3 linked regions of the Callithrix jacchus genome follow. The protein of the gene in region 1 purifies or fractionates together with the protein of each later gene. This does not show direct contact. Links are inferred from orthologs where the notes say so. Each region holds a gene or a part of one and is shown on either strand. Other genes may lie near its edges. The genes, in order: MORF4L1, H2BC21 and RBBP7.

Evidence for each region.
Region 2: the proteins of MORF4L1 (region 1) and H2BC21 purify together in Homo sapiens (affinity purification with mass spectrometry, with the first as the bait; 3 studies listed by BioGRID). This does not show direct contact. The link is inferred for Callithrix jacchus from reciprocal best matches to the Homo sapiens genes MORF4L1 and H2BC21.
Region 3: the proteins of MORF4L1 (region 1) and RBBP7 purify together in Homo sapiens (affinity purification with mass spectrometry; 5 studies listed by BioGRID and IntAct, counting the BioPlex papers as one, with this or other methods). This does not show direct contact. The link is inferred for Callithrix jacchus from reciprocal best matches to the Homo sapiens genes MORF4L1 and RBBP7.

What each region holds. Positions count from the first base shown.
Region 1 is NC_133507.1:29,178,187-29,181,836, reverse strand, and holds part of MORF4L1 (mortality factor 4-like protein 1), read left to right. Parts: intron 1-1,101; coding exon 1,102-1,203; intron 1,204-2,224; coding exon 2,225-2,313; intron 2,314-2,717; coding exon 2,718-2,890; intron 2,891-3,447; coding exon 3,448-3,532; intron 3,533-3,650. UniProt on the Homo sapiens protein: Component of the NuA4 histone acetyltransferase (HAT) complex which is involved in transcriptional activation of select genes principally by acetylation of nucleosomal histones H4 and H2A.
Region 2 is NC_133519.1:9,820,657-9,824,406, reverse strand, and holds H2BC21 (histone H2B type 2-E), read left to right. Parts: upstream 1-1,366; 5' UTR 1,367-1,408; coding exon 1,409-1,789; 3' UTR 1,790-3,597; downstream 3,598-3,750. Other genes in the region: H2AC21 (histone H2A type 2-B), read left to right, coding at 136-528; H2AC20 (histone H2A type 2-C), read right to left, coding at 685-1,074. UniProt on the Homo sapiens protein: Core component of nucleosome. Nucleosomes wrap and compact DNA into chromatin, limiting DNA accessibility to the cellular machineries which require DNA as a template.
Region 3 is NC_133524.1:17,112,084-17,115,733, reverse strand, and holds part of RBBP7 (histone-binding protein RBBP7), read left to right. Parts: intron 1-1,189; coding exon 1,190-1,350; intron 1,351-2,196; coding exon 2,197-2,323; intron 2,324-2,441; coding exon 2,442-2,519; intron 2,520-2,947; coding exon 2,948-3,024; intron 3,025-3,650. UniProt on the Homo sapiens protein: Core histone-binding subunit that may target chromatin remodeling factors, histone acetyltransferases and histone deacetylases to their histone substrates in a manner that is regulated by nucleosomal DNA.

The sequences.
Region 1 (3,650 bases):
AGTACAGGTGTGTGCCACCACACCCGGCTACTTTTTGTATTTTTAGTAGAGGCAGGGTTTCACCACGTTGGCCAGGGTAGTGTTTATCTCTTGACCACGTGATCTGCCCATCCCAGCCTCCCAAAGTGCTGGAATTACAGGCATAAGCCACTGCAGCCAGCCTAGAATTTTTTTTTTTTTAGACAGTTTCGCTCTTGTTACCCAGGCTGGAGTGCAATGGCGTGATCTTGGCTCACTGCAGCCTCCACCTCCTGGGTTCAGGCAATTCTGCCTCGGCCTCCTGAGTAGCTGGGTTTACAGGCACGCGGCACCATGCCCAGCTAATTTTTTTGTATTTTTAGTAGAGACGGGATTTCACCATGTTGACCAAGATGGTCTCGATCTCTTGACCTCGTGATCCACCTGCCTTGGCCTCCCAAAGTGCTGGGATTACAGGCGTGAACCACTGCGCCCGGCCTGGCCTAGAATTTTAATTTCTAACTGGCATAGTTTATATCTGAAGCTAAAAGTAGTAGAATCTGAAAATAGGCATTTTGGGGCAGTTTTTGAAAACTATTAGAAATCAGTATGTTTACTTTTATGAGTTCAAGATGGGTCTTTAAGATGGTTGTGTTAGGAACAGTTGTTTTGATGTCAGTGGTAAATATGAAAATACTAAGTTAAAACGTATCAAGTCTCAGGGTATTTCATTTCCTGAACAACAGGAACTTAAGAATTTTTACCTTAAGTGATAGTGTACTATCACTTATTTCATTTCCTGAACAACAGGAACTTAAGAATTTTTACCTTAAGTGATAGTGTACTAAATAGACTATGGTTCAAGGTCAGATTCTTTTCTCCCAGCAGCAAAGCTGTGTATGGTCTTTTTCATTTACAGTTTTTAAAAATGACAGTTCAGCTGTATGCTTAGCTACTTTGAGAATTTATACCTAGTGCCTTTAAAAGTCAACTCCCTTCCATGTTTGGTATTTAGCAAGAAAGGATAGGGGTTTTGTTTTCTTTTGTTTTATTTTTTGAGATGGTGTCTTACTCTATTGCCCAGACTGGTGTGCAGTGGCGTGATAAAGGTAGGTTTTTAAATACTCTTCTATTTCTGTATAGGAGGAAACATTCATGAACAGAGTTGAAGTTAAAGTAAAGATTCCTGAAGAACTAAAACCATGGCTTGTTGATGACTGGGACTTAATTACCAGGCAAAAGCAGGTAAATTGCTAGCTAATGTGATACATTGTTGCTAGCAAAAAAAAAAAAAAAAAAAGCTTTTATGACTTTGTGATGATAAAGGTGTCAATAACACTTTGGCGATTGCTAGGGCAGGAAGTAATTCTGAAAATAGGTAAAGGCAAAGCAGCATGTGTTTACTGTCTTCATCCCTGCTAATGGTAGGCCATAGAAAGCACCTGTCACCACCTGCAAGATATTCATGACCCTGAAAAGAACCTGAATCTAAGCTCCTGGGTCTGTTACTAGTTTGCAGGAAATAGGATGTTTAATGGAGCGACATGTTTATCCATCATTGAACTCTATAATTGAGAATTTTGTGGGACAAATGAAGCTCTTTAAACAAATGGCATAGGTAGTGTTAGGGATGGTGGGGGGCAGATGATTAGGGACTGCTTGAGGATTATGAGACTTAAAACATATCAGTCATATACAACATACGGACATAGTTTGAATTCTGATTTGAATCCGTTGGAGGATTATGCAGTTACAGCTAAACTGCGAAGATTCAAGCCGTGGCTGTATCACTTACTGTTTGTGAGCTTGGACAAGTTTCTTAGCTTTTTTTGTGCTTTTGTTTCTGCATTTAATGGAATAATAATTCCTATTTGACAATGTCGATGAGAGGATAAAACGATAACTATTTTAATGCTTTAGACTAGGTCTAGCAAATAATATGTATAACAGTAAATGAGTTGGTAATACCACAGAGGCACATTTGTGTCTGTTTTGTGTGTCTAACAGTTTGATATTTTTAAAAGCTGTGCTGTTCTGTCCAGTACAGCCTCACTGGCCACATTTGGCTGTTTAAATAAATAGATGCTCCATAACTTAGAATGGGATTACATCCCAATAGGCCCAGCAGAGAGTTGGAAAATTAAGTCAAACCATTGTAAGTTGGAAACTGTTTGTAATTAAATTTTTATTGTATAAAAATTTTCCCGGTGTAATTTTTTTTAAAAAAAAAGAGTGCTTATATTCAAGCATGTTTTTGTTTTGATAGCTCTTTTATCTTCCTGCCAAGAAGAATGTGGATTCCATTCTTGAGGATTATGCAAATTACAAGAAATCTCGTGGAAACACAGATAATAAGTAAGAATATACACCTTTCAAATACACTCAAAAGACATTCTAAAAAAAATGTGTTTCTAAATAAATCATCTGAAACTTGTACTGACTCTGAAACATATCACCAAAAAGTAGCAAAATAGAATTTCACTGCTTTGACATAGGAGTTGGCTGATCGACTTTTTCTTAAAGGGCCAGATAGTAAATATTTTAGGCACAGTTTAAACTATCATGTAAATATTTGCATAACCATATGAAAATGTAAGTTTGTCAAACGCTGCTTTCATGTGCCTTTTTAAAAAAAAATCTCAGCTGTGGGTTCATTTTTACTAGCTCAACTCTTAATTCTTTAAATTGGTTGATTAAATTATTCTCTATCTCAGTTCTTTTCATTGACCAGTTTTGGAATATTTCTGTTCATTTATCAGGGAGTATGCGGTTAATGAAGTTGTGGCAGGGATAAAAGAATACTTCAATGTAATGTTGGGTACCCAGCTACTCTACAAATTTGAGAGACCACAGTATGCTGAAATTCTTGCAGATCACCCTGATGCACCCATGTCCCAGGTGTATGGAGCGCCACATCTACTGAGACTATTTGGTAATAATGCCATGTTGAAAATAATTTTGCTTTTGGGGGGAGGGTCTTCCCTAAATGAATATGAGATAATTAACTTTCCAAAACATGACTCCATTTTAATTTGAACTTTGATCTAGAATGTTAAATAGCAAAAGAATCTTTAAGAGCAAGAGTTTTAAAAATCATGTATTTCTATTTTATTATTATTTTTGAGACGGAGTCTCACTCTGTCGCCCAGGCTGGAGTGCAGTAACTTCCGCCTGCCGTTTCAAGTGATTCTCCTGCTTCAGCCTCCCAGATAGCTGGGATTACAGTGCCCACTACCACACTCAGCTGATTTTTGTATTTTTAGTAGAAATGGGGTTTCGCCATGTTGGCCAGAGTGGTCTGGCACTCCTGAGCTCAAGTGATCGCCTACCTTGGCCTCCCAAAATGCTGGGATTACAGGCATGAGCCACTGTGTTCGGCCTAAAATAATGTATTTTAAAGGAATTTGCATTTGCTCACATAATTAAAATACATGGTTAAAGTGCTGCTGCCTTGGATGTAACTTTCGATAATTCCTCTTGTTTAAACAGTACGAATTGGAGCAATGTTGGCCTATACACCTCTGGATGAGAAGAGCCTTGCTTTATTACTGAATTATCTTCACGATTTCCTAAAGTAAGTCTATGCTTGGTAGTATAAAAATGAATTTGCAAATTAGTGTGTAATGGGGGGGATTCGCAGTATAGATGCTAAAATATTAAATATTGTATTGGTACAGGCTTAGACGGTTAAT
Region 2 (3,750 bases), on another chromosome or scaffold:
ATACGGCTCCGCTTTCAGCCAATCAAACGACTTCCCTTCACCCCTCCCGGTGGCTCTTATAAATTACATCAAATTGGTTATCCCTTCCACATTCTTCTCCTTGAAAAAGAAGCTGTGACTGCAATTTTAGCCGTAATGTCGGGACGCGGAAAGCAGGGGGGCAAGGCCCGCGCCAAGGCCAAGTCGCGCTCGTCCCGCGCTGGCCTCCAGTTCCCGGTGGGGCGAGTGCACCGCTTGCTGCGCAAAGGCAACTACGCGGAGCGGGTGGGGGCCGGCGCCCCAGTGTACCTGGCAGCGGTCCTCGAGTACCTGACCGCGGAAATTCTGGAGCTGGCGGGCAACGCGGCTCGGGACAACAAGAAGACGCGCATCATCCCTCGCCATCTGCAGCTAGCTGTGAGGAATGACGAAGAGCTCAACAAGTTACTGGGGGGTGTCACCATTGCCCAGGGCGGCGTCTTGCCCAATATCCAGGCTGTCCTGTTGCCCAAGAAAACGGAGAGTCACAAGCCTGGCAAGAGCAAGTAATAAATAGGCTTGACACCATACCCATTCACCCCAAAGGCTCTTTTAAGAGCCACCAAAGTGTCAAATGAAGGGCTGGTAACGAAACAGCGCATTAGCTCTTTTTTTGAAAACTTGGGTGGCTCTAAAAAGAGCCTTTGGTCTTTGGTTTGTCTGCATTTATTTGCTTTTGGCTTTGTGGCTTTCGGTTTTCTTTGGTAACAGAACGGCCTGGATGTTGGGCAACACGCCGCCCTGGGCGATGGTGACTTTGCCCAGCAGCTTGTTCAGCTCCTCGTCGTTGCGGATGGCCAGCTGGAGGTGACGGGGGATGATGCGCGTCTTCTTGTTGTCCCGAGCCGCGTTACCCGCCAGCTCCAGGATCTCGGCGGTCAGGTACTCCAGGACCGCCGCCATGTAGACGGGCGCGCCGGCCCCCACCCGCTCCGCGTAGTTGCCTTTGCGCAGCAGGCGGTGCACTCGCCCTACCGGGAACTGCAGGCCAGCGCGGGACGAGCGCGACTTGGCCTTGGCGCGGGCCTTGCCTCCTTGCTTGCCACGGCCAGACATGATTAAAACCAAGGCTAAACGCAGACAAAGCTCAGAACCACGCAACAAAATAAGATTGAAAGATCACCAAGAAGAAAGCCTTTATAAGCTTTCTTAGGGGTGGGGTCAAGGACGAGTTTTTCATTGGTCCTAATTTGGCTTCAGAGCCGGCCAATCAAGTCAAGAGTCGGTATCGCTACGTAGACGTTGCTGAAAACGCAAGGTCCACACACGGACCAATGGAAGTGAATTAGTTTCGGAGCCTTAATTTGCATAAGATGGTTATAAAAGGATCAGGTCCGCCCATTCTCTTACTTCTTTTCTTGGCTAAGTCGCGTTGGTACTGTGTCTTACCATGCCTGAACCGGCAAAATCCGCTCCTGCTCCTAAGAAGGGCTCTAAGAAAGCCGTCACTAAAGCCCAGAAGAAGGACGGCAAGAAGCGCAAGCGCAGCCGCAAGGAGAGCTACTCCATCTACGTGTACAAGGTGCTGAAACAGGTCCACCCCGACACCGGCATCTCGTCCAAGGCCATGGGTATCATGAACTCCTTCGTCAACGACATCTTCGAGCGCATTGCGGGGGAGGCGTCCCGCCTGGCTCACTACAACAAGCGCTCCACCATCACGTCCCGCGAGATCCAGACGGCCGTGCGCCTGCTGCTGCCCGGCGAGCTGGCCAAGCACGCCGTGTCCGAGGGCACCAAGGCGGTCACCAAGTACACCAGCTCCAAGTGAGTCCCTGCCGGGACCTGGCGCTCGCTCGCTCGCTCGAGTCGCCGGCTGCTTGAGTCCAAAGGCTCTTTTCAGAGCCACCCACCTAATCACTAGAAAAGAGCTTGTTCACTTACTCCCTTAGTTTTTTCTCACAAAGTAAGTTGTTTTAGCATAAGTCATGGGAAATAGCACACGTAGCTTAATCATTTGGAACTCGAGGTCCCCAGTGCATGATTGGATTTGCTTTTGAATCTAGAGCGTGTCGTTATTCATTGTGCTGCTTAGCTTTCCCAGGAGTCCGTTCTCATTTAGGGTGTTGGGAATCCGACTCTGCCCGCCCCCACCCCCGCCTTACACTGGCGCCCTGGTGGCTTCGTTGGGTCTGTTTCATCATTTCAAAACCAAGTGGCTGAGTCCGGCTGTTACTTAAGAGAACTCTGGGACACAATTCAGTCCGGGTGCCGCAAACTGCGTGACAGCGCTGTATGACTGACGCTTCGCAGCAGCTTTTGTGTCCGGTCACCAGTTTTGCCCTGGGATGGGGCCTCCTGTGGATGCCAGCCGTTCTGTGTACTTTGGACGAAGCCCGCGCAGCCGGGTCCCAGCCTTTTCCTGATTGGGCGACATGACTATTCGAAATTCTGCGCCGCTTTCTAATTTGTAGATTTCAGTTTCCGTGGTTCACTTTGAGATTCCTACTTCTCGGTTTGTGGATAATTTTTGCTTTTAATGGTGTCTGCTTTAAAATGGTAACGCTACGGCCCCGGGTCACTGCAAGACACCATGTAGATATGAGCTCAAAAGTCACCTCTCAGAGACCTTCTACGTCATCCACTCAGGAATTCGCGCCTCTCATAGTTCCCGGTCTCGTTTTATCTTCCTCGTAGCAGCTGTCTGAAATTGGCTCGTCTGTTTTCTTCATGGCATTCTCAAGCCCTTGACAGACCGGATGGTCTGGTTTTCCCGTGCCTCTTCAGCCAGTCAGTCTGGCACATTATGGACACTTACTTCAATACTACGGATTGAAGTAATATTGTTGGGTTAATTTTTCCATCCCACTTGTTTTTTAATCGCTTCTGTGGATGGATGATGGGTGCTGTTCATTTCCATTAGATGTACGTGAAGGCGCGGTGAAAATGGAAATGTTTTTGAAGTTATTCCCTCAAATGTATCCTTAGTCACTTCAGTGCAACAGCTGGGAGGGGGCCGTGTTAAGATTCTTTTGCATCAAAGAGGAGGTGGCAATGGTAGTTCCACCTTTGTGCTTCCCGGTTTAGCCTAACCTCCTTTGGATTTTCATCAAATTCAGCGTATTGGTCATGGGAAAGAGCCTTTTTCCTTCTTTTCTACTCCTGTCTTGGTGTTCCCTTCTTAAAGGAGAGGAGCTTTTAATTTGCACTCACCACCTGGTTTGGTTTTCAGGCGGCCATTCAAGATGGGCAGGACTACAAAGTTAATCTCTCTCTCTTTTTTTTTTTAAACAAATGAGGCCAAGAGAAGCCTGATTGGTCCATGGTCATGCAGTTCATACTGCCCACCTTTGTATTCTCAGATGCAGGACAATTGCATTTTAGTTTTATTTTGTGGAAGTGCAGAATATTTACTCTTTCTGTCAAACCCTTGATTCTGCCGAGGAACACACTGATGGTTTGATGAGTGATTCAACTCTACTTTTAGCTAAGGGCTTTGGGAGTTGATTGCAGGGGTTTGATGAATCCAAATGAGCTCTAGATATTATCACAGACTGAATAAATCTTAATTGTCTCCTACATGTGTGTTTTCAAATGTGTGTAGATGTTATTATTAATAAAGTTGCCAGTTAATTTAAAGTCTTTGCTGAATTATTTTATCTACAGTATATTTTCTCAATGAATGAGATTAACAGATACAACTTCCACTGGTTCTGTAGAAAAGCTTGGGAGCCTCTGAGCTGGGGGATGACTTGTTTATAAGCCACCAGCCAAACTGCTGCCCCAAAGGTG
Region 3 (3,650 bases), on another chromosome or scaffold:
TTCCCTAATGACTAATGATGATGAGCATATATTCTTTTATTTATTGGCCATTTGCATATCTCCTTTGATGAAATATGTATTCAAATTCTTTGTCCATATTTTGTCTTTTTATTGTTGAGTTACAAGAGTTTCTTATGTATTCTAGGTATAAGTCCCTATGGTTTTCAGAAATTTTCTCCCATCCTGTGAGTTGTCTACCTTTTTTTTTTTTGAGGCAGGATCTTACTCTGTCACCCAGGCTGAAGTGTAGTGGCACATTCTTGCCTCATTGCAACCTCCGCCTCTCGGGCTCAAGTGGTTCTCTACTTCAGCCTCTCAAGTAGCTGAGACTACAGGTGTACAGTGAATTTTTGTGTTTTTTTTTTGTAGAGATGGAGTTTTGCCATATTGCCCAGACTGGTCTTGAACTCCTGGGCTCAAGTGATCCACCTGCTTTGGACTCCCAAAGAGCCAGGATTACAGGCTTTCTAAAAGGATGCTTCCCTCAATGTGTATATGAGATGGTTTCCCAAGTAAGGAAAGTGGACTGTACCCAGTAACCCAATTACTAGTACCTTTTGAAGATACCAGGCTGGGAATTGGTCGTAATAATAGCTGAAATTTACCAGGGGCTCCCCACATGCCAAGCATCATGATAATCTTGCCAGATCCTTCTGAGCCTGTGTGAATGGCAGGATCTCCACATGTTCCTTTCTCTTCAGTCCACGTACATTGAGTGTCTTCATGTGTAAGTAACTGTTACAGAGATGAAGGGCATATATATTATGTAAAAAAAAAAAAAAAAGGTTTTTTTACTGGGAAATAGCTCTGTTACAGAAACTCCTTCATGTGGCTGGATGCAGTGGCTCATGCTTGTAATCCCAGCACTTTGGGTGGCCAAGGCAGGTGGATCACCTGAGGTCAGGAGTATGAGACCAGCCTGGCCAACATGGTGAGACCCCATCTCTACTAAAAATACAGAAAAAAATTGAGCCATGCTTGGTGGTGTGCATCTGTAAGTAATCCCAGCGACTCAGGAGGATGAGGCAGGAGAATCGCTTGAACCTGGGAGGCAGAGGCTGCAGTGAGCTGAGATCACACCACTGTGTTCCAGCCTAGGTGACAGACCGAGACGTCATCTTGAAAGAAAAATTCAGTTTCTTACGGCCCTTGTTCTTTTTTTTTCTCTCTCTCTCTCCTTCTCTCTTAGACTGTCTGTCTGTGGGATATAAACGCAGGACCGAAGGAAGGCAAAATTGTGGATGCTAAAGCGATCTTTACTGGCCACTCGGCTGTTGTGGAGGATGTGGCCTGGCACCTGCTGCACGAGTCACTGTTTGGATCTGTTGCTGATGATCAGAAACTGATGATGTAAGGTGGAAAGTTCAGTGGGATCTTGTTAAATGGGTGACCTGAATGACCATCAGCGATTGCAGCAGGCTGTAGTTTGATTTTTTTTTTTTTTTTTTTTTGCTTATGTTACGGCTTTAAAAAAAAACAGCTTTAGGTAGCTTACTGCTGTAATCCCAACACCTTGGGAGGCTGAGGCAGGAGGATTGCTTGAGGCCAGGAGGTATGAGACCCTGTCTCTACACAAAATTTAAAAAATTAGCTGGGTACAGTGGTGTGCACCTGTAACAGCCCTAGCTACTCAGGAGGCTGAAGTGAGAGGATCGCTTATTAGAAAAAAAATAAGTATAGGTATGTTTGTGTGAAGTGATATACTTGGTGTAGTGGTAAATATCAAAATTGGAATCCAGAGTGACACCAGTTGAGATCAGGGAGGAAAATTATTGCGTCAAGGTATGGCCACAGGGCTGCATTCAGCCACCTATAATCTTACCTCATAAATGTCTGAGGCAAATGTGACAAAATACTGGGCATTTGTCAAAGCTAGTTGTAGGTATGAGATTGTTACATTATTTTCTACATAGTCTCTATTTTCTGTCTGCTTGAAATAGTTGGTAATTGAAATGGGAATCTAATAAAAAACCAGGGCTAATAGCCCTAGCTTGTTCTCTGTAGGTTTTGAAAGTATCATTTAGTGGTCAAGGTCTGAAACACCAACTGTGTGGTTGGTTCTTCATGAAGGACGAGCATAGTGGAGCTAGTTGTGGAGTGCATTGACAGTGACGTGGGGCCGAGTGTGAGTGTGAGAAGCTGAGGAGGCTCATGCATCCTCCCTGGGTGCTGTGTGCCTTTACCTTTGTGTTTTAGATGGGACACCAGGTCCAATACCACCTCCAAGCCGAGCCACTTGGTGGATGCACACACTGCCGAAGTCAATTGCCTCTCATTCAATCCCTACAGCGAATTTATTCTAGCCACCGGCTCTGCGGATAAGGTTTTGAAGTTTTTGCATTATTTGGTGTTTATAAAACCCAGTTCTCTTACTTTAATTAGATATTTGAAAATTCTTAGGTAAAGCATAGAAATCATTTTCACTTGTTATTTTTCTTTAGACCGTAGCTTTATGGGATCTGCGTAACTTAAAATTAAAACTCCATACCTTCGAATCTCATAAAGACGAAATTTTCCAGGTATGTGACAGTTTTCTGGTGTCTGTATGTCAGGAAATGAAATCTAGGGATTCTTCAGTTAAGCTGTACCAGACTGATGGGCCCACTAATGAAAACAATGCCTTGTACATGGTTTTACATAGAGATGTTCATAGGTTAAAGTACACCCTACTGAAGAATTAAAAAGCTTCTGGGATGGTTATGGGGCCGAATAAATTTATTAAGACCCCAGGCTGAGTTCTTCAGTGCTGGGGAGTGCAGCCTTCCTGAGGACAAGATGGAGCTGAGCCATTTCAGAGCACTTGAAAGGCTGGGACAAGAGGGCGAGGCCAATAGGCCAAGGATAAGATCATGGACTGCAAGATGAGAAAATATTGGATTAGAACAATAGCCACAAACCTCGCAGCGAATGATCCTTTAAATACATTTTCAAAATTATCTATTACTAGGTCCACTGGTCTCCACATAATGAAACTATTCTGGCTTCAAGTGGTACTGACCGCCGCCTGAATGTGTGGGATTTAAGGTAACTCCCAGTCCATGACAACATACTACATAAATATGCTCATCTGTCAAGTTACATAGTAATTCATGAACTAGAAAAACAACTTGGTAATCCCTCTTTAAAGAAACCTAATATTAAAGAAACTTAAGTATCTTCCTAAAGAATCTGTTCTGTAAAATAGAAGCGAAGCAGCAAATGGACCATAAAATTTCTGTGATGTGAGTTTTGTCTCTTATTATTCAGACATGAAGGTGTATGTGTCTGTGTTTGGTTTTGCATTCAAATGACTGTATTTAAAACATACTTACTATATAGAGAGAGATCAAGATGTTAGCTGTTTTGTGTCTCATCGGATCTCATAGTACATGTAGGCAGGATTGTTCTTTCTGAGTTTTTGTACCATTTGCTTTTCTCTGCTTTCATTGATTGCTTCTGCAGATGTGCACTCCTGCTGTGGATTGTGTAACTGCTGGGGAGACCTTTGTCAAGGAGACAAGGACAGCCCAAGCTGTCAGCTTATGTTCTCTGGGGCTTATTGTATAAAGAGTTTCTTCCAATTCTTAAAGGTCCTTGACTTCAGACTTGCTGTTCTAAGAATTTTAGACGTCTTTATTTTTTTCATCTGAGCCTTTATAACTTAATAAAGT